Macaca fascicularis: one gene and its partners. The protein of the gene in region 5 interacts with the protein of the main gene of each other region in a pairwise test. Links are inferred from orthologs where the notes say so. Each region holds a gene or a part of one and is shown on either strand. Other genes may lie near its edges.

What was found.
Region 1: the proteins of DMRTB1 (region 5) and EXOSC1 interact in a two-hybrid assay, tested with the Homo sapiens proteins (2 studies listed by BioGRID). The link is inferred for Macaca fascicularis from reciprocal best matches to the Homo sapiens genes DMRTB1 and EXOSC1.
Region 2: the proteins of DMRTB1 (region 5) and SLAIN1 interact in a two-hybrid assay, tested with the Homo sapiens proteins (2 studies listed by BioGRID). The link is inferred for Macaca fascicularis from reciprocal best matches to the Homo sapiens genes DMRTB1 and SLAIN1.
Region 3: the proteins of DMRTB1 (region 5) and RBFOX2 interact in a two-hybrid assay, tested with the Homo sapiens proteins (3 studies listed by BioGRID). The link is inferred for Macaca fascicularis from reciprocal best matches to the Homo sapiens genes DMRTB1 and RBFOX2.
Region 4: the proteins of DMRTB1 (region 5) and RBPMS interact in a two-hybrid assay, tested with the Homo sapiens proteins (2 studies listed by BioGRID). The link is inferred for Macaca fascicularis from reciprocal best matches to the Homo sapiens genes DMRTB1 and RBPMS.
Region 6: the proteins of DMRTB1 (region 5) and VASP interact in a two-hybrid assay, tested with the Homo sapiens proteins (2 studies listed by BioGRID and IntAct). The two-hybrid records come from large-scale screens. The link is inferred for Macaca fascicularis from reciprocal best matches to the Homo sapiens genes DMRTB1 and VASP.
Region 7: the proteins of DMRTB1 (region 5) and NIF3L1 interact in a two-hybrid assay, tested with the Homo sapiens proteins (2 studies listed by BioGRID and IntAct). The two-hybrid records come from large-scale screens. The link is inferred for Macaca fascicularis from reciprocal best matches to the Homo sapiens genes DMRTB1 and NIF3L1.

Annotation. Positions count from the first base shown.
Region 1 is NC_088383.1:106,390,234-106,393,733, reverse strand, and holds part of EXOSC1 (exosome complex component CSL4), read left to right. Parts: intron 1-2,015; coding exon 2,016-2,049; coding exon of another isoform or gene 2,050-2,056; intron 2,057-2,971; coding exon 2,972-3,022; intron 3,023-3,454; coding exon 3,455-3,500. UniProt on the Homo sapiens protein: Non-catalytic component of the RNA exosome complex which has 3'->5' exoribonuclease activity and participates in a multitude of cellular RNA processing and degradation events.
Region 2 is NC_088391.1:68,771,851-68,775,350, reverse strand, and holds part of SLAIN1 (SLAIN motif-containing protein 1), read right to left. Parts: intron 3,174-3,500; coding exon 2,891-3,173; intron 873-2,890; coding exon 797-872; 3' UTR 1-796. UniProt on the Homo sapiens protein: Microtubule plus-end tracking protein that might be involved in the regulation of cytoplasmic microtubule dynamics, microtubule organization and microtubule elongation.
Region 3 is NC_088384.1:15,621,971-15,626,141, reverse strand, and holds the start of RBFOX2 (RNA binding protein fox-1 homolog 2), read right to left. Parts: upstream 2,801-4,171; 5' UTR 2,725-2,800; coding exon 2,539-2,724; intron 1-2,538. UniProt on the Homo sapiens protein: RNA-binding protein that regulates alternative splicing events by binding to 5'-UGCAUGU-3' elements. Prevents binding of U2AF2 to the 3'-splice site.
Region 4 is NC_088382.1:33,583,769-33,588,057, reverse strand, and holds the start of RBPMS (RNA-binding protein with multiple splicing), read right to left. Parts: upstream 2,801-4,289; 5' UTR 2,240-2,800; coding exon 2,174-2,239; intron 781-2,173; exon of another isoform or gene 738-780; coding exon of another isoform or gene 735-737; intron 1-734. Other genes in the region: uncharacterized protein, read left to right, coding at 2,813-3,574.
Region 5 is NC_088375.1:181,219,375-181,223,462, forward strand, and holds the start of DMRTB1 (doublesex- and mab-3-related transcription factor B1), read right to left. Parts: upstream 2,801-4,088; 5' UTR 2,778-2,800; coding exon 2,207-2,777; intron 458-2,206; coding exon 285-457; intron 1-284.
Region 6 is NC_088393.1:53,567,455-53,571,447, reverse strand, and holds the start of VASP (vasodilator-stimulated phosphoprotein), read right to left. Parts: upstream 2,801-3,993; 5' UTR 2,508-2,800; coding exon 2,503-2,507; intron 1-2,502. UniProt on the Homo sapiens protein: Ena/VASP proteins are actin-associated proteins involved in a range of processes dependent on cytoskeleton remodeling and cell polarity such as axon guidance, lamellipodial and filopodial dynamics, platelet activation and cell migration.
Region 7 is NC_088386.1:96,632,240-96,636,369, forward strand, and holds the start of NIF3L1 (NIF3-like protein 1), read left to right. Parts: upstream 1-1,330; 5' UTR 1,331-1,932; intron 1,933-4,130. UniProt on the Homo sapiens protein: May function as a transcriptional corepressor through its interaction with COPS2, negatively regulating the expression of genes involved in neuronal differentiation.

The DNA of each region.
Region 1 (3,500 bases), on a different chromosome or scaffold from region 5:
CCTAGTAGTATCCAAAAATATGTGGATGAGCTAGGACAAAAGGAAAATATTAACAAGAGAGGGTTTAAAAGTAAAGCAAAGGCTGGGCACAGTGGTTCATGCCTGTAATCCTAGCACTTTGGGAAGCTGAAGCGGATGGATCTCTTGAGATCAGGAGTTTGAGACCAGCCTAGCCAACATGGTGAAACCCCGTCTCTGTAAAAAATACAAAAATTAGCCGGGCACAGTGGCTCACACCTGTAATCCTAGCACTTTGGGAGGCCAAGGTGGGCAGATCACAAAGTCAGGAGTTTGAGACCAGCCTGGCCAATATGGTGAAACCACGTCTCTACTAAAAATACAAAAACTAGCCGGACATGGTGGCGTGTGCCTGTAATCCCAGCTACTCAGGAGGCTGAACCCGGGAGGCAGAGGTTGCAGTGAGCCAAGATCGCGCCACTGCACTCCGGCACAGGGTACACAGCGAGACTCCATCTCTTAAAAAAAAAAAAAAAAAAAAAAAATTAGCTGGGCATGGTGGTGCATACCTGTTGTCCCAGCTACTTGTGGAGCTAAAGTGGGAAGATCACTTGAGCCTAGGAGGCGGAGGTTGCAGTGAGCTGAGATTGTACCACTGCACTCCAGCCTGGGTGACAAAGTGAGACCCTGTCTCAAAAAACAAATAAATAAATGAAAAGTAAAGCAAAAAGAATTGAGTGAAGCTGAAGTTTATCAGTGTCAGGATGACTCAAACCAAAGTGGAAGGCATTCTAGGAAGCACTTTTTAAAAATTTTAATATAGATTGAACTCAGAGGTTATAAAACATTGAAAAGATTTGTGAGTGAGACGGTGATTTCCTGTGGCTTCCTTGAGAAAGGACAAACATTTCTTGCCAGGCAGATAATCTAACTTTTGAGGCCCTTTCCAGCCTCAGGATTTGATGTGGTTCTGTAGTGCAGCAATCTCCAAGCTTCTTGGCACCAGGGACCAGTTTCTTGGAAGACAGTTTTTCCACAGACTGTGGTGGGAGTGGTTGCAGAATGATTCAAGTGCATTACATTTATGCTGTACTTTATTTCTATTATTATTACACTGTAATATATAATGAAATAATTATACAGCTCACCATAATGTAGAATCAGCGGGAACCCTGAGTTTCTTTCCCTGCAATTCGATGGTCCCATCTGGGGGTGATGGGAGACAGTGACAGATCGTCAAGCATTAGATTCTCATAATGAGTGGGCAACCTAGCTCCCTCATGTGCACAGTTCACAATAGGGTTCATACTTCTATGAGAATCTAATGCCCACTTTGATCTGACAGGGGGCGGAGCTCAGGCAGTAATGTATGTGATTGGGGAGCAGCTGTAAATACAGATGAAGCTTGCCTGCCACTCACTTCCTTCTGTGCAGCCCGGTTCCTAACAGGCCACCAGAACTTGGGGACCCTTGCTATAGTGCTTCTGTTCAAGCCCTGAGGCAACAAAACTCCTTATCGTTTCTTGCCAAATCTGATCTGCCTTTATCTAATCAGGTATTGATACTGCTGCTCCGTGTGGTCTGAGGATGCTTCTCCACCCTGCTCCTCTGAGTAGCAGCTGGGTCCCAATTAAGACTTGTTCTGTCTGTTCTTGTAGCTCTTTATTTACTAGGAATCTACAGAATAATTCTTTCTCACAGGCTGGGCAAGGTGACTCATGCCTGTAATCCCAGCACTTTGGGAAGCTGAGGCGGGTGGATCACCTGAGGCCAGGAGTTCAAGACCAGCCTGGCCAATGTGGTGAAACCCCATCTCCACTAAAAATACAAAAACTAGCCGGGCGTGGCAGCACATGCCTGTAATTCCAGCTGCTTGAGAGGCTGAGGCACGAAAAATGCCTGAAGCCAGGAGGCGGAGGTTGCAGTGAGCCGAGATCGTGCCACTGTACTCCAGCCTGGGTGACAGAGGGAGACTCTGTCTTAAAAAAAAAAAAAAAAAAAAAAAAAAAATTCTTTCTCACAGATAATTAATCTTTCTGTTAATTCTTTTTTTATAGCAAGGAAGATGTCCGAGCAACTGAAAAAGACAAGGTTGTTGGTTGGTTCTCTTTTTTTAACGGCTTTACAAATCTCAATCCCTTAAAAGTATTATCTCAGACCAGGCATGGTTGCACACACCTGTAATCCCAGTACTTCGGGAGGCTGAGGCGGGAGGATCACTTGAGGCCAGGACTTCAAGACCAGCCCTGGCAACACAGTGAGACCCTGTCTCTACAAAAATTTTAAAAATTAAAAATTAGCGGGCATGGTGGCTCATGCTTGTAGTCATAGCTGCTTGAGAGGATGTGGCTGGAGGATTGCTTGAGCCCAGGAGTTTGAGGTTATGTGGTGGCACAAACCTGTAGTCCTAGCTACTTGGGAGGCTGAGGCAGGAGGATCCCTTGGTCCAGCAGTCCAAGGCTGCAGTGAGCTACCATTGCATCACTGCACTCCAGCCTGGGTGACACAGTGGGATTCCACCCTTAACAAAAAAGGGCTGGGTGCGGTGGCACACACCTGTAATCCCAGCTTTTTGGAAGGCCAAGGCAGGCAGATCACGAGCTCAGGAGTTCAAGACCAGTCTGACCAACATGGTGAAACCCCATCTCTACTAAAAATACAAAAACTAGCCAGCGTCATGCTGCGCGCCTGTAATCCCAGCTACTCAGGAGGCTAAGGCAGGAGAATCGCTTGAACCTGGGAGGTGGAGGTTGCAGTGAGCCAAGATCGTACCACTGCACTCCAGCCTGGGCAACAGAGCGAGACTCCATCTCAAAAAAAAAAAAAACAACAAACAACTTTTCATTTGTATGATAATACTATAGAAGCAATTAAAAGTTGTTGACTTGACATGAGTAATGATGATTTCTACCCTCCAGGATTAGAAAGTAGACTGGCTTTACCAGAAGGGTTCACAGTTTCATATAGACCCAGTCTAGAACTTTCACTTACCATTCCTGTTCTTTCTTTACAGGTTGAAATTTATAAGAGTTTCCGCCCAGGTGACATTGTCTTGGCCAAAGTGGTATCCTTTATTCCCAGCAGACTTCTGGGTTTTTGTCAAAAGAAGAGATGGAGGCTGGGCGTGGTGGCTCATGCCTGTAATCCCAGCACTTTGGGAGGCCAAGGCGGGTGGATCACCTGAGGTCAGGAGTTCGAGACCAGCCTGGCCCAACATGGTGAAACCCTGTCTCTACTGAAAATACAAAAATTAGCTGGACGTGGTGGCGCATGGCTGTAATCTCAGCTACTCGGGAAACTGAGGCAGGAGAACCGCTGGAACGCTGGAGGCACAGGTTGCTGTGAGCTGAGATCGCGCCACTGCTCTCCAGCCTGGGTAACAGAGCAAGACTCCGTCTCAAAAAAACAAAACAGAGAAAGTAGAAAAACAACTCAGCTGACTAAGGTTGGGGGAAGACTTCTAACTCCTCATTTTCCTTCAGTGTTATGTGACTAGATCTCCCTAGGTGATGCACAGTCCAACTACCTGCTAACCACTGCCG
Region 2 (3,500 bases), on a different chromosome or scaffold from region 5:
AATCAATTGTGGTACAGTAGCAAACATTGCAGGTATTAAGTGCAATGAGCTCATGATGCCGTTATAAATATGAAACCCATGTATGACAATAAATTAACAATGAAAAAGACAGGACCATTTAATTCTGCTGTCTGGCTATCTCCTTGCAATGCTTCAAATTATGTTGTGCTCATTCAACACAAAATTATGTCTCTCAAATTGCATGATGTGTTTTTGCTGATATATCCCTAGAGCTAAAAAAATAGTACCTTACCACAAAAATATTTTTATGGCACAAAATTTAAGTTGTTCCATAGTGGTTCACATAGGTGTAAAAAGAAATAGGCACAAAAAATAAAATTCCTGTAAACTATAAAAAAGTAAATTTCAAAGCATACATTATAGAACCTAGTTGTCAATATGCAATGTATTAAAATACAGAACATGTAATGGAAAGATGTTTAGAACACGTAAGTAAATTGAACAAGTTACTTTAAAAAACTTCTATGGCAAAGCATTATTGATACATCTCAATTCTCTCAAAAAGTATTCAGGTACAGAGCAGTTCTACAAAAACTTCCTAGATCTAAGTGTCACAATACTGCAACCATGGGTTTGAGACTGTTGCAGTATCTCAGGCAAATATTTAAGTGCAATAATTAGTCTCTGGTGACTGGTCCATTGAGAAACAATGCAGTAAATATATTAAAACACAAAAGGGAAAGAATATCCCAACATCCACTGCTACCCAGCCAGCTAGGTAACACAACCCTCATTTTTACTTCTTTCCCATTTCTCAAGGGTACATAAAACTGCATCAGTAGCAACCATCTCTCCAATTTCCATCCCTCAGAGTGCTGAGTGAAGACAGAGGCTTTGGAGGCTGAAGAAAACTAAAAAGAGACAAGAAAAACACAGAGAGATTGTTAATAATCCTGTAAGTCACATTACTTACTTTGACCTACTCTCCCATCTATGCTCCTCCACTGCAGTAACGAGAAGCCATTGGCAATATCTCAAGTGTACCTTGTGGTTCACACTTACGGGTCTTCACTGCATGCTTATCTCCCAAAGCCCCAGTTCATGGCAGAGTGTCATGCGTGTTGTATTTGCACAAGTAAATTTCCAACATAAATAAAGGGGCCAATACCCTTAATGTGTAAAACATATTTTAAAATAAGAAAATACAGACTCCTGGCTAGAAAAATGGCCTAAAAACATAAATGGTTACTCTGTTGAATACAAACAGCAAATGAATACGAATAAACTTTCAAAATCGTATTAGTAATTAAAGATTTGCCTATCATGTTGGCAAAACATTTAAAAAGAACCTTCGGCTGAGTGCAGTGGCTCACACCTATAATCCCAACACTTTGGGAGGCCAAGGCAACAGGAACACTTGAGGCCAGGCATTCAAGACCAGCTTGGGCAACACAGCAAGACCTTTATCTCTACAATTTTTTTTTCAAATTATCTGGGAGTGGTGGCATGCACTATAGTCCTAGCAAGGCAGGAGGATCACTTGAGCCCAGGAGTTTGAGGTTACAACAAGTTATGACCACACCACTGCACTCCAGCCTGGGCAAAAGAGCAAGACCCTGTCTCTAAAAAAATACATAAAATAAAAAATTTAAATTAAAAAAAATTAAAAGGAATAATACCTAGTATTTGCTTAAGTTTGGGGAAACAGACCATCTTATATTGTCTAGCAGTGACCTTTCCAAGTGTTTAGTTTGGAGACACAAATTCAAGGATAAATAATGTATGGTCTATAATAACCATATATATCAAATAATGTGATTCTAGTCAGCCATCAGCATGATGACGCAGCTCGGCATTTACAAAGCAGAATAAGCCAAAAATTACTGAATAAATAAACATGTACCAAAATTGTTTCTATCTGGTAGTAGGATTATGGGTCAGTCTTTACTTTTCTATTTTTCAACAGTTTCTGTTTTTCGAAATTTGTTGTTGATCTGAGCATCCATTACTTCTAAACAAAAAACAGAACTATTTATATATCCATAAATGCATAAAGACAGAAAAAATTGCTTGTTCCACCTCTTTCAAATTTTTACTATGTTTCCTCCTTCTCCTCCTTCATATCCTAATTTCTTGAAAGAGCTGTCTGTATTTACTGTCTTTATTTCCTCAATCTTTCCTCAAACCACTTTTATGGATTTTTAATATAAGACACTCCATAATATTCAGTTCAAGAAGGTACATCATGACCAAGAGCTGGACTAAAATGTCCTTTGAAGTAGAAAAAAAAACTCTGAAACTTTGAAGGGGAAAAAAAAATTTCTACCTGAACCATACTGAACTTACCAACATAAGCTGATAAAGCCCCAGGTGAATGTCATTAAGATGCTTTTCAAACCATAAATGTGTGGGAGGAGGGTGTGCATGTGCACATATGCCTGACACATTTTTCCATATTTTCATTAAAAATGACTGATTCAACAAATATTTGAGATCCTACCCATACTGGGCATAGTTCTTGGCATTGGGGACACACAGCAATGAACCAAAGAGTCAACTCCCCCTGCCCTACAATTTTTGGATAGAGCTGCCGTCTGAGCAAAGACCTGAAGGAGGCACAGAGCAAGCCGTGCAAGTAACTTGGGAGAAGAAAGCTACAAAAGCTCTGGAGACAGAGCTTGTCTGGTAAAAGCAAAAGTGTTAGGAGTGATAGTGATGAGGGAGTAGGGGAAGAAAATGATATCAGAGAGAAAGGGACCTGACCCACACAGGGATATCCATCACTTTTCAAAGGGAGGAGAGCACAAGTCAGGCCACAAAGGGTAGTGACTTACTAAGGTTAAAGTGCGCCAAAGGAAAGGTCAGCGTGTGTCTGGAGCAGTTTCTAGTTCCAAACTGCAAATGAAATTATGCAAATAAAGATTCTTACCTTCTAACAGGTTGTGCAATTTTGCTTCGAGGCAGGTTACTCCCATTTATTGCCAACGAAGGTCTTGGGAGTGCACTGCGACCCATTATCCCAGAAGCTGCAGCTTTGTTCGGTGTGGGGATTCCTGTGTTGGAATACAGCTGTAAGCCGTTTGATACAGGCATGTTACTGCTGCCTTGAACGGTTGGACTCACATAGGCTGTGGCTTTAAGAGGTTGTCGGATAGACACTGGGAAATGCCCCACGCTGTGGACTCTGTGTTGAAGCTGTCCTGGTGATGGAACTAGAAGAGAAAATGATATTCATGTGAGCGAGCTTCTACCACTATCCAACTTAGGAAATGTGTGCTATTTTCAGAAGAGCCAATTATGCCTGAGAGTACAATATACACAGAAGGAGATAAATGGAATATAGGCACCAGATGGCACTGAGTCATGGAAAATTCTAATCCTTGATACGGATCTCCTGGTCTGTCCATGAGCCACATTTTGAAGTGCCTGGCTATATGCAGAAGCCAGTTCTAAGCACAGCCTCCTTTCCTTTACAAATGTGATGATCTCTGAGTTCTTACAAGACAAAGTCTTCCCTGCTTGCTTGCTAGAAATTAGGA
Region 3 (4,171 bases), on a different chromosome or scaffold from region 5:
TGGACTTATATCTTTTAGAAGGTAACTTAGAAACCGGCCGGGCGTGGTGGCTCACACCTGTAATCCCAGCACTTTGGGAGGCCGAGGCGGGCAGATCACGAGGGAAATCATCTTGTACACATACTTTATTTTATAGCTAAGGAAAACAGAGGCCCCAAAATGAAAGATTTCTGCAGGCACTCAGCTAGTTGAAGGCAGGACCTAAATCAGTGATGATCTGAATACCTGTATGACATAGGGGAATGGACCTACAACAATGAGAATGCACAGAAGGCTGGGTGTGGTGGCTCACGCCTGTAATCCCAACATTTTGGGAGGCTGAGGTGGGTGGACCATCTGAGGTCAGGAGTTCGAGAACAGCCTGGCCAACCTGGTGAAAATCCCCCTCTACTAAAAATACGAAAAATGAGCTGGGCATGGTGGCACATGCCTGTAATCCCATCTACTCAGAAAGCAGAGGCAGGAGAATCGCCTGAACCCAGAGGTGGAGGTAGAGGTTGCAGTGAGCCGAGATCGTGCCATTGCACTCCATCCTGGGCAAAAAAAAAAATGTATAGAAAGAAAATAAACAAAGAACACCCACAAATACACAGAGTGAAAAAAGGATTCTCAGAGGGATAGTTCTCAGCTACCCCCAAGGACCTAACCACTCTTTCCTCTGCACACCCCTGTGAAGTCCCTACATATTGCTCCATTTCCGAATATCACTATCTTTAGCCAATTTGAAGGCAACCAGCAGATAATAGGCCCCAGGAGTAAATGAGGGAAAGGGATGGGGGTCTCACTATTAACTATGATTGACAGAAATGATAAATGAATACATACAGACATACACACACACACACACACACACACACACAAAGTAGAACCTGCTCACCAGCACCTATATCCAGTCTTCCCTCCTTACCATCCAATATTAGCTCACCTCACCTGCAGTCTCCCATATTCCTGTCTTTTTTTCCATGGCCCTGAGCTTTTACTTCTCACAATCCCTCTACCTGACAGAGTTCTAATGGAAAATAAAAGCAGGCAAACAAAACAAAAGAATTCAAAAATAAACACCAAGAGGGTCACTTTACCTAAATCAACACAAGTAACAGGGTAAACTCTGCAAAGGAGACCAAGAAGCACACAACAAATACGCTAGGCTTAAGTACAGCTCCGTCCCTAACACAGGAAGTCAGGCAGAGGCTTGAAAAGCAGGGAGCAGAGCACAGGAAGTCTTTTAGCACTGCAGAGATTTCCAAGAGTGGTGTAATGGAGACAGCACAGGAATAGGAATTAGAAGACCAGGCTTCTGGTTCTAGTTTTACTATCAGCTAACTGGGTGGCCTTACCCAAGTCACTCATCTTCTCTGGACTTCTGATTCCCCATCTATAAAATAAGGTGGTTAAAACAAGCTGGGACTCAAATCCCCTCCAAAAAAAACCAAGATGAAAATTATTGACTCTCTGCCACCAAAAAGTGCACATCACCTTTTATAAGTAAGAATCTTCCTAGTCTGTCCAGGTTAAGAACCCCTGGAAAAGATGTCTAGTCTTCCTCATCCCTCTAACATCCTATGACTCTGAGAGAACTAGGCACATGTCTGCACAATTGCTGATAGGTGAGACTCACCATTTCATAGCAGTATTTTCTGGGCAGAGACCAAACCCTAAAACCTACAAAGGTTTCAAGGTCTTCCTCAAAACTATGAAGTCAACTGACATCATCAATACCTTTCCCATTCCCTACCCAAATTAACCACTTTTATCTTTGAATCCAGAATTGAGAATCCAGTCTTCTAATAGCCCTATAAATTTTTTTTTAATAGCCCAGGACATTAAAGAGCTATTTTGTGTCCTGGAGATGTAGAATGCAATTGGCAAAGAACAGGAGGGACATGTCTGGTGTCTCCCTTCAGACTCATTAGTATGCTCCACAAAGTTAATGAGACTGAGCACCACCGTGTCCCCACAACATTACCAAACTCCCTGTACTTCTCACACTCTCTGTGTGTTTTAACCCACAATCTCAGCCACATCCCCTCGGGGCTCTCTCTCGGAGTTTTCTTGCTTTTCACTCCTCTCCTTGAAACGCCACTTCTCTTCCCCATCCCAGCGGGTGCCCAGGGCTGCCAAAAGGTACTCCCTCTTCTTGGGAGGTTTCCCACGAGATCCCCTCTTCCTCGACTCCGTCCAGAGAACCCAGGATTTCCCGGCTTCCACTCCACCCCAGGGCACTAAGGAAGGATTTGAAGAAATGGAATCCATCTCAACCACGTTCGATTTCCCCCCAAAACCTATCCACTCGTCGTGCCTCCTCGCCCCTCAGGAATCAGGACCCTCTCAGGCACACCAGGATCAGTCCTGCAACCTTCGTTCCTAGCCCGAGCTCGCCCCACCTTCCAACCAGGCCCCGACTGGTCCCCCCATCCCACCTCCAACCCAGGACCCCCGGAGGCCCTCCCTCTTTCCAAGCCGGGGAGCCCGGGGTCGCCCCTCACGCCACTCCCCCTCTCCCCCGCAATAACTGGGCGCCCCGTCCCGCGCGGTCACCTGCATCCCGCCGCCACCGTCGGCCGCCGCCTCCTCAGTGCGCGGCCGCTTGCTCAGGCCAGGATCGGCTCCGTCTCCTCCGGCTCCGGGCACCGGCAGCTCCAGCTCCGACTCCCGCTTCATGCCCCGGGCAGCGGCGCCGGGCCCGAGCTGAGGCGGCTGCTGCGGCTGGGCGCCCTCCGCCATCCGCCCGCGCCCCCCTCGCCTCCGGGAGCCGGGCGACCCGCGACAGGCCACCTCCCCCTGGGCCTCGGCCCCGACTGTCGCGACAGGCGGGCGCGCGCCTGCCCCCGCCCCCCGCGTGCGTGCGTGCGTGCGTGCGCGCGAGCGCGCGGACTCCGCGCCCCTCCGCGGCTCGCACCCGCAGCTCCTCGCCTGGCCGCTCGCTCGCTCGGCCGCCCGCCCGCCGGGTTGTCGGCGCGGGGCCACTGGCGGGTCGCGACGGGCACTCGCTCGCACCCCCGCACGCACACGCGACACCCGGCCCGGCCCGCCGCGCCGCCCCGCCTCTCGCACTCCCGGAGCTCGCCCGCCGGCCGCGCTGGCTCACACTCTCCCTCACAACACGCCGGCCGAGGGAGGAAGGGGGCGGTCCGGGCTCCCAAGGCGTAGGGAGGGCTGTTTATTTGGGGGGAGGAGGGGCGCGAGGCAGGAACGAGCTGACTGGCCGGGATCCTCCGACCCGCCACTGTGGCAGCACCGGGAAGGCGGGGAGAGAGAAAGAGGGAGGGAGGGACCGGGATGTAGGACTCCAGCCCGCGCGGGAGGCTATGGCTAGGGGGGCGGTGGCGGCCTGCGGATGGGCGGGGCCAGCCCTTCTCGGCAATCTCCGTCGCCTCCTCGCTAGCTGCCCGAGGGAGGCTGGGAAGCGATCGGGGAAGCTCGGGAATCTCCGGCACGGGCCTGGGACTGTCCTGGAGGCTCCGCGCGGCAGGAGTGCCGGCCAGCGCAGAGGGGGCGGGGTCAGTCTCCTTTTGGGGCGGGGCCGTAGCTTGGAGCAGGCGGGGCTTGAGAGACCCGAGGGCCAGGGAGTGGCTCCTGCCTGTGGGACTAGTTGTACAGTGTTGTGTCCTGAGTTTACCCGCCTGAGCACCTTGGTTCCCGGGGAGGGAATGGGCACTCTGTGAGAGGCAGGCTATTTGCCTGCTTCCCCTCCCGCAGAAGGAAAAAGATCTCGAATTGGAAGGTCGAGGAATGAAGCCACCCGTCTGTAGTTCACCCCAGCTCTGAGCGCTTTTACTCTGACATAACTCACATTCCTAATGAAGTTAGTACTAATATCCGATGTTTGTAAGAGTTTTAGGGTTTGCACAATGCATCCACAGACCCATTTCAAACTGGTAATATAGGTAGATACCATGATCTCCATTTCATTGATGATGAAACTGAACCTTAGTTAAATCCTGCAGCAAAAAAGTGGCAGATCCAGAATTCAGAACGCTGGACCATACTCTCTTTCTCTACACTTTGCTGCCTGAGGAGCTCTTTATGACTTGTCAACTTCGTGGAGACAGAGATATCTGTGCAATAGATTCTCTCCCCTACCAGACTGTGAGAACAAGGACTGCTGTGATTTCCCTGGGTTCCATATCGTGCCCTGTACATTATAGGAATAAAAGGATATTGCGTGAAT
Region 4 (4,289 bases), on a different chromosome or scaffold from region 5:
AAGGCAAAATTACCCGGATCATTCAGGCCACCTTAGTTTCTTTTCCTGAATTTCTGACATTATAAACCCCCTCTCTTCACAGTCTTATCTGTTTTGTACACGACATCTCTTGGACAACTTAGGTTCTGAAATCTTCCTACCAGTCCCCTTATTTTTTACATAACAAGTGTTTTGCTAAAAATATCGATACTTTCTAGAGCCTCATGCCATTCCTACCTGAAAAAGAACACTGTCAGGTAACAGGACAAGTAAGAGGCAGCAACCATACTGCAATGGTCCGCGATTATACAGCAATTATTACACACAACCTCGCAAGGACAGAGGAGCGTCCAGGAACAGGGCAGGCAATCCCTCGGTGCTGGCAGCTGTTAAGATGGGTCAAGCGGAAAAATGTGCCTTTTCTATACTTAATTTTAAGTGGGTATGATTTTTAGGACATTGAACCTCTTTTGCTACCCACCAAAAGGAAAAAAAAAAAAAGTTTTCTCAACTGGGTAAATAAAGATGGTTTGATATAATATTCTAACCCTGAGAAGCAAACAGATTGCACATTTAGCTGAAATAGGAAGATTTCTGAAGCGATAATTATTTTGATATGGTAAGTGAATTAGTTAACTATAGTAATTCCTAAAAAAGCAAATTTAAAAAAGCATTATTTTTAAATTTTTTTAAGTGGTAGGGAAAATAAATAGCAAAGCAGCCAGTAAAGTTCAAGAAAAAAAGTTAGAACATACCATTCAACTCTCCATTGCTTTGAAAAAAGAAACGCCAGTAGCATTCCTACACTTGTAATTAGAAAACATGCATGTAAACAACTCTTCAAATAGTCTTTTATAATAAAATAGAAAATGTCCTCGGGTGAGAAAGCAATTTTTGACTGACTGCAACTCATCTAGGTTTTCACTACCATACAACTGGGTAAGAGAGTAAAATCTCCGATTTTGCACTGTTTGGCATAGTCTCGCTCCTCTACCTTCTCCACCTAAATAGTTCCCATTTTCCAAGTGGACAATGTGCAGAGAACTTGTATGCATTAATGAATTCCTCTGCAATTTTGGTTTCACTATCAGAATTGAAGTTTGCACACAACAGTGTCTCAACAATGATCTCAACGTCCTAACGCTTTAGAATCCGTTTACCTTCTGTGTTCACCTAGATCAGGATGCAATACCTGTGTGAATCTTTTCGGGTCATATTGAGACATGCACTTTCCTGCATCTGCACACACTCTCAAGTTCCTCTAGAATGTTAAGAACTCAACTGTGTGTGATATTAAAAAGTACGCCAGAAGTAATTTCTTGGACTCCAGATAATGTACCTGCAGAAACAGTCATTTGGTAGGATACCACAAATACCCTACTACTGAATTCTGAAACGTTTGTTCCTGAGTCCGACTCCCCTTCTGACCACATCTACTCAATTTTGTTTCCACCGAAGGAACGCTCCGCAGTCACAAAACTTTCATCGTGAGGACGCACCACCTAAAATGCGTGCTCAGAAGTCAAAGTCCTATAAAAGTATCCTCGATGAGCATTTGGTGAATTGCTGCGTTTTTAACCCTCTTATTCTGCTCCCCTCATCTGCACGGCCCTAAATTCGCAAGCGTTCACCGCCCAGGTTCGGGGTCTTTGACTCAGCAGAGAAGAATGTGGCTGATGAGTTATCTATTAATCCAAAAACCCTCGGCTAGAAAGATATTTCACCAAGAACTTTTAACACGGAAAGGGAGGGGGCAGGGAACAGAGGTATCTTTTAATGAAAACTTTTCCCCGAGTTTCTTCCTTAAACTGCCCCCCCGCTACCCCGAATCCACACACAATTTCCAGCCCCAGCCCTAAGTCCTGACCCTCCGAGTCCCGATATCTGAGGTCACCCAGGAGTCAGCTCTCGGTTCCACTTTTTAAATCCCGGGCAAACAAAGCTGAGCATTATACTTACAAAAGTCTCCGAAAAGTCCTTAGAGTTACGCAATTTGGGGCCCGCAGACGCGCGTGGACACAAAAACACACTTTCCCGAGATCCACCCTCCCCGGGCCACACTGCGGGGCTGCGTCCCGGGCACGGGCCATGCCTAAACCTTCCACCGCCGCGCCCCGGGCCCGCGCCCGCGCCCCGCCGGCCGCCCGCACTGGGTCCCGGATCGCCCCCGCCACTGCACCGAGCCGCCCAGTACCTCCTCCTCCTGAAGGTTGGCCTCGCTCGGGGTGTTCTCCTTCTCGGCTTTGCCGCCGTTGTTCATCTTCCCGGTCCTTCCTCGCCGGGCCGGGCAGGGCTGGGGCGCGGGGCTGGGCGAGGGCGCGCTCGCCCACTGTAGCCTTCCCCGGGCGCCGGGGCTCCCTCGGGCGGGCGCCGCGGGCTGCGGGGCTGGAGCTGGAGCCGGGGCAGTGGCTGTCGGGCTGGGGCTCCCGCGGCGAGACTGCGACGGCAGCGGCGGGCGACTCAGGAAGTACGAGGGAGAGACGGGGCAGGGCGCGGGCCGAGAGCGGGGCACCGAGACAATCGGGCCCCGGGAGGGCGACCTGGATAGGGAGGGCGGGAGCCAGGGGAGGAAGGAAGAAGGAAGGAAGGAAGCAAAGGATGGGGCGAGGACGCGCGTCCCAGGAGTAAGCGCAGAGAGTTGGGGCTGGGGGCTGCAGCCGCTGGAAGGAGGGGACGGGGGTGCCTAGAGAGGAGGAGGAGGAAGAGGAGGAGGAGGAAGAGGAGGAGGAGGAAGAGGAGGAGGAGCGGGGCGGAGAGGCGCGGGCGGCGGCTGGGACGCTGGGACCCGAGAGCCGCTGAGTGCGCGCTCCAGGCAGGCTCTGGGAAGTCCGGGATGGAAGCAGCTCCCTTTCTCTCGTCTTCCTCCCTCCCCTCTCCCCTCCCTCCTCTCCGCGCCTCTCCTCCTCCCTCCGCCCTCCCTGGACGTGGGCTGCCGGCTGCAGCCCGGAGGGACGGGGCGCGGGACGGAGCCCCCCGCGGGAGGAGGGGCCGGCGGCCGGATGGCGCGCGCCGGGGAGGGGCCGCGGGCCGCGGGCGGAAGCGGCGACCCCAGCCCCAGACTCGGCGGCTGGTCGGAGGGCGAGGGCCCTGGAGGCCGAGGGCAGGGGAGGTCGGGTACTGCAGTTCCCTCGGCCCCCGGGGGCCCCGGCGTCTGCGCGCCCCGGGACTTCGGGGACCCTGCCCCGCCGGGGCCAGGACCGGGAGCTGGGATGTGTGCGACTTTTGTTTGCCGGCTTTTACCATGGGATTTGCACCCCTGGCCCTAAGCCCACCCTTCCCGAGCCAGACCCGGTTCTTCCCCTGCTGTTTGAATGACAGGATGAGAACTCGAGGGACACCGGGGACAGCCCCCTCCGGGCCGGCTTTTTCAGGACAGGGCTTCAAACCCATCTCCAGCGCGGGTCCTGCGACGCGCCCGGAGCCTTCCCCGCTTCGCTGCCTGGGCGTCCCGCGGCCCCCGACTCCTCTCCCAACTCTCACCCGACTGTTCTGGGATTGTTTACTTGGCCTCTCCCTCACCCTTCAGAAAGCTCCTTCCTGGAAGAAAAAACCACAAACTTACCCTATTTATCTTTTTAATCCCACGGCTATTTAAACGAGCTACCGGGTGTATAGTAGGCACTCAATAAATATTTGTTGGCAAAGTGAATATTCCTCATTGCAGGCAGAGCTCGGGGTCCACACGGAGGAATTTCAGAGGCTGGAAGCACACTTGAAGAAGAAAGGGGGCCTGGGCTTTGCACCAACTTCAGGATTGCGTACTTGTTTCCTCATCCGTTAAATGGGAGCAGCTGAATGTGTCTCCTAGCGTTTTCGAGATTGTAGGTTGATAGAACTATGTACAGCACCCAGTATTCATTCTTGCTTCGTTTAGGTTTACAATACATGGAAGCTAACATTATTATTAAGGAAACTTCCATTTTTCCCGGGCCTTAGAAAGCTTTTCCAATACTCGATCGTTAAAGCCTCTGTTTTTTTTGTTTTTTTTTTTTTGTTTTTTTTAGAAAAATGAGGGTCTCACTTTGTTGCCCAGGCTGATCTCGAACTCCTGGCCTCAAGTGATCCTCCGGCTTTTGGCCTCCCAAACTGATGGAATTACTGTCTGGAACCACTGTGTTAAACTCTTAGATTTGACTGCTACAAATGTATAAATGTGGAACTCCATGTATCAGTGGGTTCTGCCCCACTTCTTACTCCCAGGAATTCTCCGTCCCAGCCTGCTGCTCCTGTCCTGCACCAGTAAGTTTCTAACTACAGTATTTGCTTAACTGTTTCTCCCCACCCCCCAGCAGACATTCTTTATACTGATT
Region 5 (4,088 bases):
AAGGAAGGGGTCACCCTGAATGCTCAGAGTCTTTCAGCCCACTGCCCTGAAAAGCACAGGCCATAGCCCAGGCCGAGTGGTGCAGACTGGTCCACACGTGTGCTCCCAGAGACACACACACTGTGTCTGGGCAGTGCGTAAAGCCATCCACCAGCACTCGGGGGTTGGCATGGAGTGGGCACACAGTTTATGACAGCTGGCTTCCTGGGAATGAGGATCCATCAAAGCAACAGGGGCTGCTGGGAGGAGGAGGAAGCTGGCAAGAAATGAGGGGTGGGACTCACCAAGCCTCCGCCTTGGTACTGGCTGCGGGACACATGCCGGAAGCCCTGCTGCAGGGGGACGCCAGGAGGGGCGTCCAGGTAGCCCAGCGGGAACGGGCAGTAGGGGTGCATGCTGGAGCCGCCAGGGTACTCAGGGCCCAGTGCACGGTCCGGGTTGATGCTCACAGGGCGCCCTGAAGAAGGCAAGCAAGGAGGGAAGTGTTAGACACCGCTGGGAAAAGCATCCGCAGGGTGGCACAGGCCGGCGGAGTCGTAAGCGCTGCTGTCCAAGCACAGAAAGCCCACCCCGCCCTTCCTTCCGCTGGGCCCTCACTGCATCTCCATCCTCCAGCCAGCCCCGCTGCTCTTGGAGAGTCCTCGGCACGGCCATCAAGCCCGCTGTGGGCCCCCGGCCTGCGGCTCCCCGCTGCCCACACGCCGTCTGCCCACACTCTGCCTCTACGAGTCCTCCGTGCCAAGTTACTCTTCCTCCGGGTCAACAGTGAACCCGGCCATGGCTCGAGCTCTGGACAGCGATTTGTGTGACTCTTCAATCAACCCTGTCCCTCCCACAAGGACAAGGTCCCTGAGGGCAAGAAATGTGACCCGCGTCCTTCATCACGAATGCCTGGCTCATAGTTCAGCCCAGCCCTGCTTGTCTGTTGAGATGGAACAAAGAAAGGCGGCTTCTCCTAGAATTGCAGTTTCAGACCTGTGACCCCATCAGATGGGGCGTTCCCTGGGGACCTAGATTTTCCTGGAAAGTCAGGAAGGCGGGACGAGCCTGCGGAAGCCTCTGGACCAATGCCCTGGCACACAGAGGGCAGGAGCTTGTCCAGCGTGACCCAGGCTCCCGCCTCGGCCTCAGCCCGTCCCACGACACCACCATGGGGAGACACCAGGAAAACGCGTCCACACCAAACCCCGGGGCTTTTAAAGCTTCAAATGTACATGTGACTTGAAACTGTACTTCAATACCGAAAGCTCCAAGGCACAGGGAACAATGTAATTTATGTACCAGGTGAGGGGCAAAAAGAAAGGCAACATCTTTACAGACCAACTGTTCTCTTACGTGTAGTAAAGCAGCAGGCTCGGCTCACCCGCACGTGGGGAAAGGGAGGGAAGAGGTGCACAGGCGCACTGGTCCAGGGCCGTGCTGAGGGGAGGAGCCTCCCGACCGCGAACAGGGAAGGAAGAGTGCGCAGGCGCAGTCGTCCTTGCGCTAACCTGCCGGCAGGAAAAGTCTCTTATTCTGGAGGAGGAGCCTCCAGCCCAAGGAAATGGCGGGAAGAGGTGCGCAAGCGCAGTAGGACTGGGCTCCTCGAGGCCTCTTCCCGGAGGAGGAAGCACTGCTAAGTCGACTGGACGCCATTTTGTTCTTGCATGCCAGAATGGCACAAACTACAGCTAAATGTTAAAAGCCCTTTGAGCCAAGCGCGGTGGCTCAAGCCTGTAATCCCAGCACTTTGGGAGGCCGAGGCGGGTGGATCACGAGGTCAGGAGATCGAGACCATCCTGGCTAACATGGTGAAACCCCGTCTCTACTAAAAATACAAAAAACTAGCCGGGCGTGGTGGCGGGCGCCTGTAGTCCCAGCTATTAGGAGGCTGAGGCAGGAGAATGGCGTGAACCCGGGAGGCGGAGCTTGCAGTGAGCCGAGATCGCGCCACTGCACTCCAGCCTGGGCGACAGAGCGAGACTCCGTCTCAAAAAAAAAAAAAAAAAAAAAAAAAGCCCTCTGAACCGCCCATTCCCTTATGTTTCCTTTTTGCGAAAAGGTACCCAATCCAAATCCCCGTTCCAAGAAGGGTTTCTTAAAGCAGAAGGTACGTTACCCGTGGAAAGCATTCTCCCCACCCCAAACCCCTATGCCAGCTGCCCATCCGGGCTGGCCTGTACTGCCAGCTCGGGGAGTCCACCGCGGGACTGAGGCCACGACTTACCAAAGTCGGTGAACGGCGGGCCAGGCACGGGCCGCAGCGGCCTGCGCAGGTCCAGGGGGCCGGGGTAGCCACTGCCTGTGGCCTCCGCCCCAAAAGGGGGTCCCGCAAGGCTGGGCATCGCCACGGCGGCTCGCTCGCTCGGCTCCACGTGGCCGCGGCCGCCCAGAACCGGTTGGAAGGCGCTCGGGCCGGGACTCCGGCCCCGCGGGGGCCGCTCGAAGAAGCAGGCGGCCGCGCGGCCCTCGGGTCCCGGCTCGGCGTCTCCGGAGGGAGTCCCCGGAGGCAGAGGGCGCAGGCTCCCGCCCGGGAGGGGAACGGGCGCGGCGGCCGCGGCCCCGGAGGCCTGCTCTGGACCCTGCGCACACAGGGCCGCCTCCTGCTCCTCCTCGGCGGCCTGCGTCTTGAGCACCTTCTGCGCGGCCATGATCTTCTGGCGCTCGGAGATCAGGTAGCACTTCTCGCAGAGGCACTGCTTCCAGCGGCATTTGCCTGCGTGGCCCTTGACGGGAACCAGGAAGCCATGGTTCCTGCATCTCGAGCACTTAGGGGTGCGCACCATCTTGTCGGCCATTGGCAGGGTCAGCCTTCGTAGCACAACCACCACCTCTGGGAGCTGCAGAGCAAGTGGCGCTGGGTTGAGCCGCGCCCCACAAGTCCCTGGTTCTGGGGACATTGGATACACTTGTAACAAAGCACCTCGCAGTGTGTCCCGGGAACTGCAGCAAGAACCTTGCATTTTCCCTCCTTTTGGGGGGTGCACAGTTTGGAGAGTTTCTGTGCTTTGGGTAATTAGATGCAATGGACTGGGTTGCATAAATTCTTAATGGGATTCTATTGCATGTATGTCATTTAGCTTATCTGAAGTCTTAGGCATGTAATTTTCCAAACTCTATTCCCGCCACCGACGGAAGGTATTTGTAACTTCAGGAAAGGCGGAGTGATATTCAACGGTCCACAGATTTAAAACTCGGGAGGAATGTAGCTTTCAGTGTAGAAAAGCACTGTAAGAGGCAAACCGTATTTCTCCTCCCTAAAGCTGCTGCTTCTGTGGCATTTCACTTCTCTGCCGTGCAGAGATGCTTCCAGGATATTCCAGAATATTTTCAAGAGCTCAGTGCAGTGTGATGGTTGCTCAAGGGTATGCCCTTGCAGTAATTCCCGTTTCTTGAGAGTCTTTGTGTAGAAATCCTCTTCTGGAGGATGGCACATTGCTGATGTTCATGCCTTCCAAAGTAAGCATACTTAGAATATTTTAAAGTAAAATAGGCAGAATATTCTGGCACTAAGCCTGGCATAGTGTCCTGTGCCTGTAGCCCTAGCTGCTTGTGAGGATCACTTGAGCCCAGAAGTTGGAGACCAACATGAGCAACATAGCGAGACTCCTGTTTCTAAAAAATTAAATAAAACAAATTCTGCAAGACCCCTGTTTCTAAAAAATTAAATTAAAAAACTGTCTAGCACTAGCTTCAGTAATTGCTTAACCTCATCATGAATTTTGTTATCCTTATAAAACAACGCAAATATTGGGACATCTGAAAAGCTAACACAAACGTCATAGTTTACCCAAGGACATTAAGGTTTTTTTGTTTTGTTTTTTCTTTTTTTTTTTTTTTTTTTTGAGACAGAGTCTCACTCTGTCACCCAGGCTGTAGGGCAGTGGCGTCATCTCGGCCCACTGCAACCTCTGCCTCCCAGGTTCAAGCGATTCTCCTGCCTCAGCCTCCTGAGTAGCTTGGATTACAGTCACCCGCCACCATGCCCAGCTAATTTTTATATTTTTAGTAGAGACGGGGTTTTCGCCATGTTGGCCAGGCTGGTCTTGAACTCCTAACCTCAGGTGATCCGCCTGCCTGGGCCTCCCAAAGTGCTGGGATTACAGGTG
Region 6 (3,993 bases), on a different chromosome or scaffold from region 5:
CAGTGAGCCAAGATCGCGCCATTTCACTCCAGCCTGGGCAACAAGAGCAAAAAAAAAAAAAAACAACCCAGAATTGCTGTCAGGCACAAAAATGCCCCACATAAAATAGATGCTTGATCAAATGGTCTCTTATTTTAAAAAAAATAAAAATAGCTATTATTGGAAGAAAGAAATAGACCCCAATTCTCCCCAAGTCCCTTCTGCCCTGAGATTCTAGACCTCTGCCTCGCTTCTCTGTCTTCCCAGCACCCCAGCTCCAGTCCGGGACACAGCCGACACTCAACAAATATTTGTCAAATTGGGAGAAAAAGAACTATATCTTGTAATTTTCCATTTTAACATCCTCTCTTCCAACTGCCCCCAGGACTGTCCCCCAGCCAAACCAGCCAGAAATCAGAGGATCCTAGGTTCCTCCACCCCTCCAACATTGCCTAGGAATTTCTGAGGGATCTTGGCCATGTCTTTTTCTCTTTGAGCCTCAGTTTCCCCAGCTGGGTAATAGGGGCATGGGTTTTGAATCCTGGCTGTCCTTGGAGAAGAGGCACAGCCCAGTAAGTCGGGTGTGACCACCTGCAGGGGAGACCCCTGGAAAGGTGGGAGTGGCCTTCTGGTGGGACAGGCATCTGGTCACTTCTGCACTGCACCCCACCCCAGCACCCCCACAAGGTGGGATGCTTGATCACCGCCCCAGCAAGAGGTGGGCCCTGTGGGAGGGCCAGGGCTTCCAGGGCTGCTGGTGGTGGTGGTGGTGGTGGTGGGGAGGGCAGGGGGCCGGCCCAGACACCACTCCTGCCCTTTTACGGTTGCAGTGAGTGAGGCAGCACTAACTCGGACATCCGCCATCCGCCTTCCACTGAGCCTGGGACCGGAAACGCGAGGGGGGTGGAGGGGCGGGGCTGGGGGGCAAGGGGAGAGAAGAGTCCCGGAGGAAGAGGGCGAAGGAAGAGAGCGACGCTCCCTAAACTGACCCCTCTCCAGGGCGGACTTGGAAGGGATGTTGCTATAATGGGGAGCGGATAGGATAGGCAGGAAGTCTTGAGGGTATCTGTGGGTGTCCTCCTTGCTCCAAATTTTCCAGCCATGCCTTTCACATCAGAAGGAACAAACGCGGGAGGGGAATTCTCTAGTGGTCATAAAAAGGAACGCCACTCCACTCCGATGTCAAAGGGCAGGGGTTCAGGAAATGCAGGGGATGTGGGCACCACGGGGTTAATCCCCAGCCGTCCCCAGGGGCCTCCCTGCTAAGGCTGGGGGCTTTGGGGCAGGAAGTCCCAGAGAGAGTGGAGGAAGGGAGATAGTATTGTCAGGCTCTGGCCCCATGGGAGAGATTATGGGGGGCCAGGGGAGGGGAGAATGGGAGGATGGTTGGGTCCCCCTGCCCACACTGGCCCCGCCCTCAGGTGAGTCCAGGAGTTCGGGGGAGGCCCCGGCCAGACCAAATCCCTGGGTCCCTTGGGCCGCCGCCCCCAGGATTAAATTCCTGGGAAGATAGCTGGAATTATCTGGGAAGCCTGGGTCCCTAGGGAAGAGGGCTATGACCTTGAAGCTTTCCAGCTCCCCCTCCTCCAACCCCAAGGCTCCGGATGGATGGGGGGGGCGGCGAGCAAAGGGGGAGGCGCCGTGGTGGGGAAGGCAGCCGGCCCACAGCGCTCGGTGCCCGCCCCCCACACCAGCTGTCTCGACAGGTGAGTCAGGAAGACAAAGGCCCCCTTCCCCCAGCTGCTGCGTCCCCTCCCTCCCCAGGGCCGCGCAGGTGGGGGAGCCGGGCCGCCCTTATGGCCCGGGGCAGGGAGCCGCCCTCTGCTCCGAGCGCCCGCTCTGTCCTAGGCACTGCCTGTTAAGCAGATTGCGTGCGGAGCGACGGGGGAGGGGAATCCCACCAGACTCCGGAGGCTGCGTCCGGGTCCCTGGATCGGTTCATACCAGCCTCTTCCACAGGAAGACCTAAGTGCCCCCCAAAATTTAGGGGATTAAGAAGTACCCCCGAAGTTCAGGAGCGCGGTCTCACTTGGGGAGACTTTTTCCAGCACCACGTAAACGGGGTCCCTGCACACCAAGGGTCTGAGTCTCAGTCTCTCTTCCAAGTCCCAGGGTCTCCCAAACCAGTCCCCCACAATCCTTCCCCGACCTCGAGCTGAAGTTTGGGGGGAGGGGGAGGAAAGTCTGAGCCCTGCCTCAATCCTGGCATCCCTGCGGGGAGTCGCTGCCAACTTTGAGGTCCTCTGAAAAAAAGTCTTAACAATTCGGGAGTCCTCCGAGCGTCCCCAAATCTTGAGGGCTCCCAGGGGAACCTCACCGCCACCACCCCCCGAGCTTGGGAAGTCAGTCGTGGAGAAGTGATCGACGGTTTTGGGGCTTGTCCTAGGGGATTCAGCCCAAATCCGAGGCTCCCAAGGATCTGTCCCCAAATTCCAGCCCGGAGCGAGCTGGGGGGGAGGGGGACAAAGGCGGGGCGCGGAGCCCGCCCGGGCGGGGACGGGTCGGGGGGCAGGTCCGGCTCACCTCATGGCTGATCTGCGGGCGGGCGGCGCGCCCACGGACTGGCTGCTCCCGGGGCGCCCCTGGCTGGAGGTTCAGGGGTTCGGGGCTGGCTCCGGGCTCGACTCAGGCTCCCCCAGGGTCCCGCCCCATAGAGTCCGGCTTCCTGGGTAGAACGTGGACCGGGCCGGGGCGGGTCTCCGGGCGCCGCTTCCCTCAGGCGATCTGATGAGAGGTCCCTGCGGCAGAAAGGGGATGCGGCGTCTGCTCCCCGACGCGCCCCCCTTGCCGGCGGCGGCTACACTGTTACTCTTACTACTGTACTTCTCTTCGTTACATTTCGTTCCAAAATTCCACTCCCCGCACCCACAATGCCCCGCGCCTTAAAGGGGCCGCGCGCGCCTCCAGGCGAGGGGGTGGAGGGCGCTTAAAAGGGCAACTCGGCACCCTCTGCTTCCGCGATCTTGCTGCTCTCCCCAACGTTATCGTCCAGGGGTGCACCCTGGGAGTCACCACCACATGGAGGGGCAAGCTTGGTGAAGGGGAAGGCGACCTCCCTTGCTCCCTAGTTCGCTTCCACTGTGGGAATTCTCAGGAGCGTCTCGGAAGGGGCACGATTTCTTTCCCCATCGACTTCTCCATCTCGTACTCCGCTCAATTTTGGGGGTCGAAGAGGACCCTCCAGTTAGTTAAGCAAGTGGTCTCAGATTTTCTCCCTGAAATTCCATCTTCGGAACCCCGCCCCTCCCCAGCGTCTCTCTTCTGTCAATTTCGGAGGGGTTACTAAGGGGGCGAGCCCCCCACCCGCGCGGGAGGGGAGGTGGGGGGGAGTAGGGCCCCACCCCTCTCACCCCACCCCGCCCGCCCCGGGAAGGTGAGGAGGAAGTGGGCCAAGGGGGCGCGGTCGGCCGCTGACTCACAGCCGCAGGGTCGGGGGTGGGGTGGGGGTGGAGGTGGGGACTGGCGAGGAGTGCCGGAGTTGGGGGCCTGGCATTCGCCCGAGGTGGGCAGGAGGCGCCGGCTTCTTGGGTATGTAAAGCCTCCGACCCACGTACGCCCCGCTCTGACTCAGTTTCGCCTGCGGAGGACAGCAGGATCATCCCAGCCCTCAGGAGGGCCCGGAGGTGAGGAGACCCTCCCCGGAGCCCCCGCCCCCACACGCCGGCTCCAGGCTGAGCCCAGACACCCTCCGAGGCTTCCGCAGCGTGTCTTGCCGGCCACGCCCCGAGTGACGTCACTGATGTGGTCGCGCCCCTTGGGTAGAGCGCCACCTGGCCCGGGTGAGGGCCCGGGTGAGGCCCTGGGAAATCAGTTTCACGTTTACACATGGGTAAACTGAGGCCTGGAGACAGGGAATGAATCTGGCCTATGACCCTCTTGCCTGAGCCCCCAGAACCCGGAAAGCCACCAAGATCTGAGTGTAAAACCAACAATTATCAGGGCCAGCTGACTAGGTGAGAGAATCCACTTTTCCAGCGTATTTCCAAGCCGAGTCCCATGTCCGGATGTTTTCCT
Region 7 (4,130 bases), on a different chromosome or scaffold from region 5:
AACAAAACACCATCTTTCCAGTACCACTCCCAATCACATACGACATAATTTATCCTAAACGCAATGTTAACACAATCAATTTGGGAATGGTAAGAACCACCTTCTTTTCAGAAATCCTTCGAACAAAATCGAAAATCTCTAACCTAACAACTTGAAAACGACATTATATAGAAATTCATCAACTGCCGTTCTTTCTTCCAAGTGGAACCCCTCTGCGTCTTTGGCTACAATTTTTTTTTTTTTTTTTAAAGCCTGTCAAATTTAGCTGTAGGGGTTGTATACTAATTTTTGTGACACTAGTAACTACTAAGTTATAATAACCCATTACCATTGGACCAGCCTGAGTACAATTTCTAAAGCCCTCCAACCGGGTCGGGGGCCGTGGCTTATGCCTGTAACCCCAGCACTTTGGGAGGCTGAAGCAGGATGATTGCTTGAGCCCAGGAATTCGAGGTCAGCCAGAGCAACATAGCGAGACCCTGACTCTACAAAAAATAAAAAATTAACCGGGGGGTGGTAGCGCGCGCCTGTAGTCCCAACTACTCAGGAGGCTGAGGTGGGAAGATCACCTGAGCCCGGATTTCAAGGCTGCAGTGAGCCCTCATTGCACCACTTGCACTCCGGCCTGGGCGACAGGGGCGAGACCTTCTCCCCCCACCCCAAAAAAAAGGGAGGCGGGGCGCGGTGGCTCACCCCTGTAATCCCAGCACTTTGGGAGGCCGAGGCGGATGGATCACCTGAGGTCAAGAGTTTGAGGCCAGTCTAATACGATGAAACTCCGTCTCTACTAAAAATACAAACATTAACCGGACGTGGTGGCGCGGGCCTGCAATCCCAGATACTCGAGAGGCTGAGGCAGCAGGAGAATCGCTTGAACCCGCGAGGCGGAGGCTGCAGTGACCCGAGATCGCGCCACTACACTCTAGCCTGCGCGACAGAGCGACACTCCAAGAAACAAAAGCTCCAACTGCTAACCCAAGAGGAGTACGCTGAAACGCCATCGCATAAAATGCTCGGTCACCAGACTTTTGTCACAACGCTCCTTCAAATACACCCCGGCATTTCTCTTTCCTTAGGTTCCCAAGTCTCGTTTTTGTTAACACCACTGAGGACAAAGCCACTCGCGACGTTTACGCCGACCCTTTAACCACTAGACATTAACTGTAACCCCCTACGGGTTCCGTCTCTTCCTCCACTTGCTCCAGACGACATTTCCCCACAGCTGCGTGCTTCAAGCACATTCCGGAACCCCAGCAAACCCCACCCCCAACAGGGAGCCTCGCCTTTCCGGCCACAGTGCCAAGGCCGGCCTCCGCCCAGCCGCCATCTTACAGCTCGGCCGAGGCGGCCCACAACATGGCGCCCACCCGACCCTCCCACGTCAGGCGGCGCCGCTCCCTCAGCGGAGGGCGAACACTCCAAGAGGGCGGCCGGCCTAGCAAACACCGTAACTACTCCCGCAGGCCGGATCCGGCGGCGACGGGCTCGGCCGCGCAGGAAAGAGGGGCGCGCCGCCATTATGCAGCCTGGGAGTGAAGGGAGCAGGCAGTCGTCGCGCCAGGGACGGCGGGCAGCAAACAAGCGGGAAGTGGTGGCATCGCCAGGCGCCCGCGAGGCTCACAGGAACGGCCCTGTCACCTAGTCCGCTCCCTCCTGCGTCTTACCGTCCTGGACAAAGACTCCAAGTCGAAGGAGACAAAGCTTGTAACGCAATCACGGGAATCACCCAGCTGACTGCGACGAGCACCGACAACAAAATGGAGCTGACAGCTGCTGCGTCGGGACTCGCCTCGAAAACACCGATGACGCAACGAGCGCGTCTCCGCCGCGGGGCGGGGCATGCACGGGGCGAGCAGGCGGAAGGGGCGGGCGTCCGGAGCGTTGGCGGACGCGTGACCACGGTGGGCGCAGGCGCCGGGGCGGGAGCCAGAGGTGGGTGATGAAAGGAAGTTGTAGATGCTTGCTGTGTTGTCTCTAATCTCCCGATACCGAGAAAACATTGCAGTTTTAGGGGAGAGTGTCGTCCCCACTCACTGAAAATTGTTTTTGAACGCTAGAACAAGGAATAACTTGTGAACAAGGAAAAGTGAGGGACTCAGGATACACAATAGCACGTGCCCTGATTGCGACCACTAAAACAATTACTTTAAAAATAATACTTCACGGCGCGATGTGTCTGGCGCGTAACCCTAGCACTTTGGGAGGCCGAGGAGAGCGAATCGCTTGAGCCCAGGATTTCGAGACCAGCCTGGGCAGCATAGGGAGACCCCTGTCTCTAAAAAATAAGTAAATGTTATACCACTAGCGTCAGATGGCTTCAGATTACTAATGGGATCAGTGAACGTGTCAGCTCAGTGTGAGCCAACAGAAATCAATGTTCTGCACCTTGATCCTCATGGTGCCTGCATTAGGCCCACCGTGGGTAGCCAGCGTACCTCCTATGATGCTTTTATGGCTGTAACTTGAGTACACATTCTAAGAATAAAACTCCTTGATAAGTTTTTGAAGGGAAGGCCAGCGTTAAAGAAACAGAGTGGCGGCTCTACAGCAAATGCAGGCTTTATGTCCAGCCTAAGATCTACAGAAGTGGGGGACCAGCCTAATGCCGGTGCCCACCAGTGGGATACTTTTAGGTAAGGGCGGGAGGGGCCTGGGCCATAACGCTTACTGGCTTGCTGCCCTGCAGGATGTTAAGATGTTCCCATAACGAGGCGGTTCTGGCCCTTGTTCCCGCGGAATGTGGTGGTGGTGGGTTTTTTTGTTTTGTTTTTTGTTTTTGTTTTGAGATGGAGCCTTGCTCTGTCACCCAGGCTGGAGTGCAGTGGTGCGATCTCCGCTCACGGCAACCTCCGCCTCCTGAGTTCAAGCGATTCTCCTGTCTCAGCTTCCCCGGTAGCTGGGACTGCAGGCGCGCGCCACCACGACCCGCTAATTTTTGTATTTTTAGTAGAGACGGGGTTTTGCCATGTTGGCCAGGCTGGTCTGGAATTCCTGACCTCAGGTGACCCACCCGCCTCGGCCTCCCAAAGTGCTGGGATTACAGGGGTGAGCCACCATGCCCCTGCAGGAATGCGGTGTTCTTCGCACTTTCTCACAGCAGAATATGACAGAGGTGTTTCTTTAGTGGTGCGTTTGTCCGTTTTGTGGTCAGGTGGTTGGGCAGGATGTTTCTCACAGCCCGAACCCCCGTGGAATGTTTCACTTTGACCAAGGTCTGCAAAATAGCCTGTGGGGGAGACGGGGCAGGGCCGGGGGAACGGGGGAGGGCGGGGGGCAGGGATTTACAAAATGGTGCAGTTTGGACTAACACTCTTAAAACCAAAAAATAACCATATTTGCACCACTGATTAAAAGTGGCAGAGTTTAGAATAAAACCTGGAGGAGGTCGGGTGCGGTGGCTCACGCCTGTAATCCCAGCACTATGGGAGGCCAAGGTGGGTGGATCACGAGGTCAGGAGTTCAAGACCAGCCTGGCCAAGATGATGAAACCCCATCTCTATTAGAAATACAAAAAATTAGCCGGGCGTGGTGGCAAGCTCCTGTAATCCCAGCTATTCGGGAGGGTGGGGCAGAATTGTTTCAACTTGGGAGGTGGAGGTTGCAGTGAGCCGAGATCTACCACTGCACTACAGCCTGGGCAACAGAGCAAGACTCCGTCTCAAAAAAAAAATAAGTGGAGCCTGCGAGTCCTGACATCACTTACCAGGAGCCACAGGGAACCCAGCTGGCACAGCAGCAGCAGCCTTGCTTCTATGAGATCAAACAGTTTCTGGAGTGTGCCCAGAACCAGGGTGACATCAAGCTCTGTGAGGGTTTCAATGAGGTGCTGAAACAGTGCCGACTTGCAAACGGATTGGCCTAATCAAGAAGTTCAACCTGGAGAGATGGAAAATCAGCTCTCATACCTTAAGTTAATTTAGTGTAAAAATAGAATTGATAGTGAAGGTATAAAGTGTAACCATCAGTTAAACCTCTCCTGTCATTCCTAGCTTCCTTACTTCAGAACTGAAATGGAAGGGGGTGTGTTCCTACTCTGTAGAATTTGGGACTGGGCAAAATGTGTTACCTCCTTAAACTAGCTGTTATGATTTTATTCTTTGTGAGTTAATTAGAATAAAGTCATTTTCTTC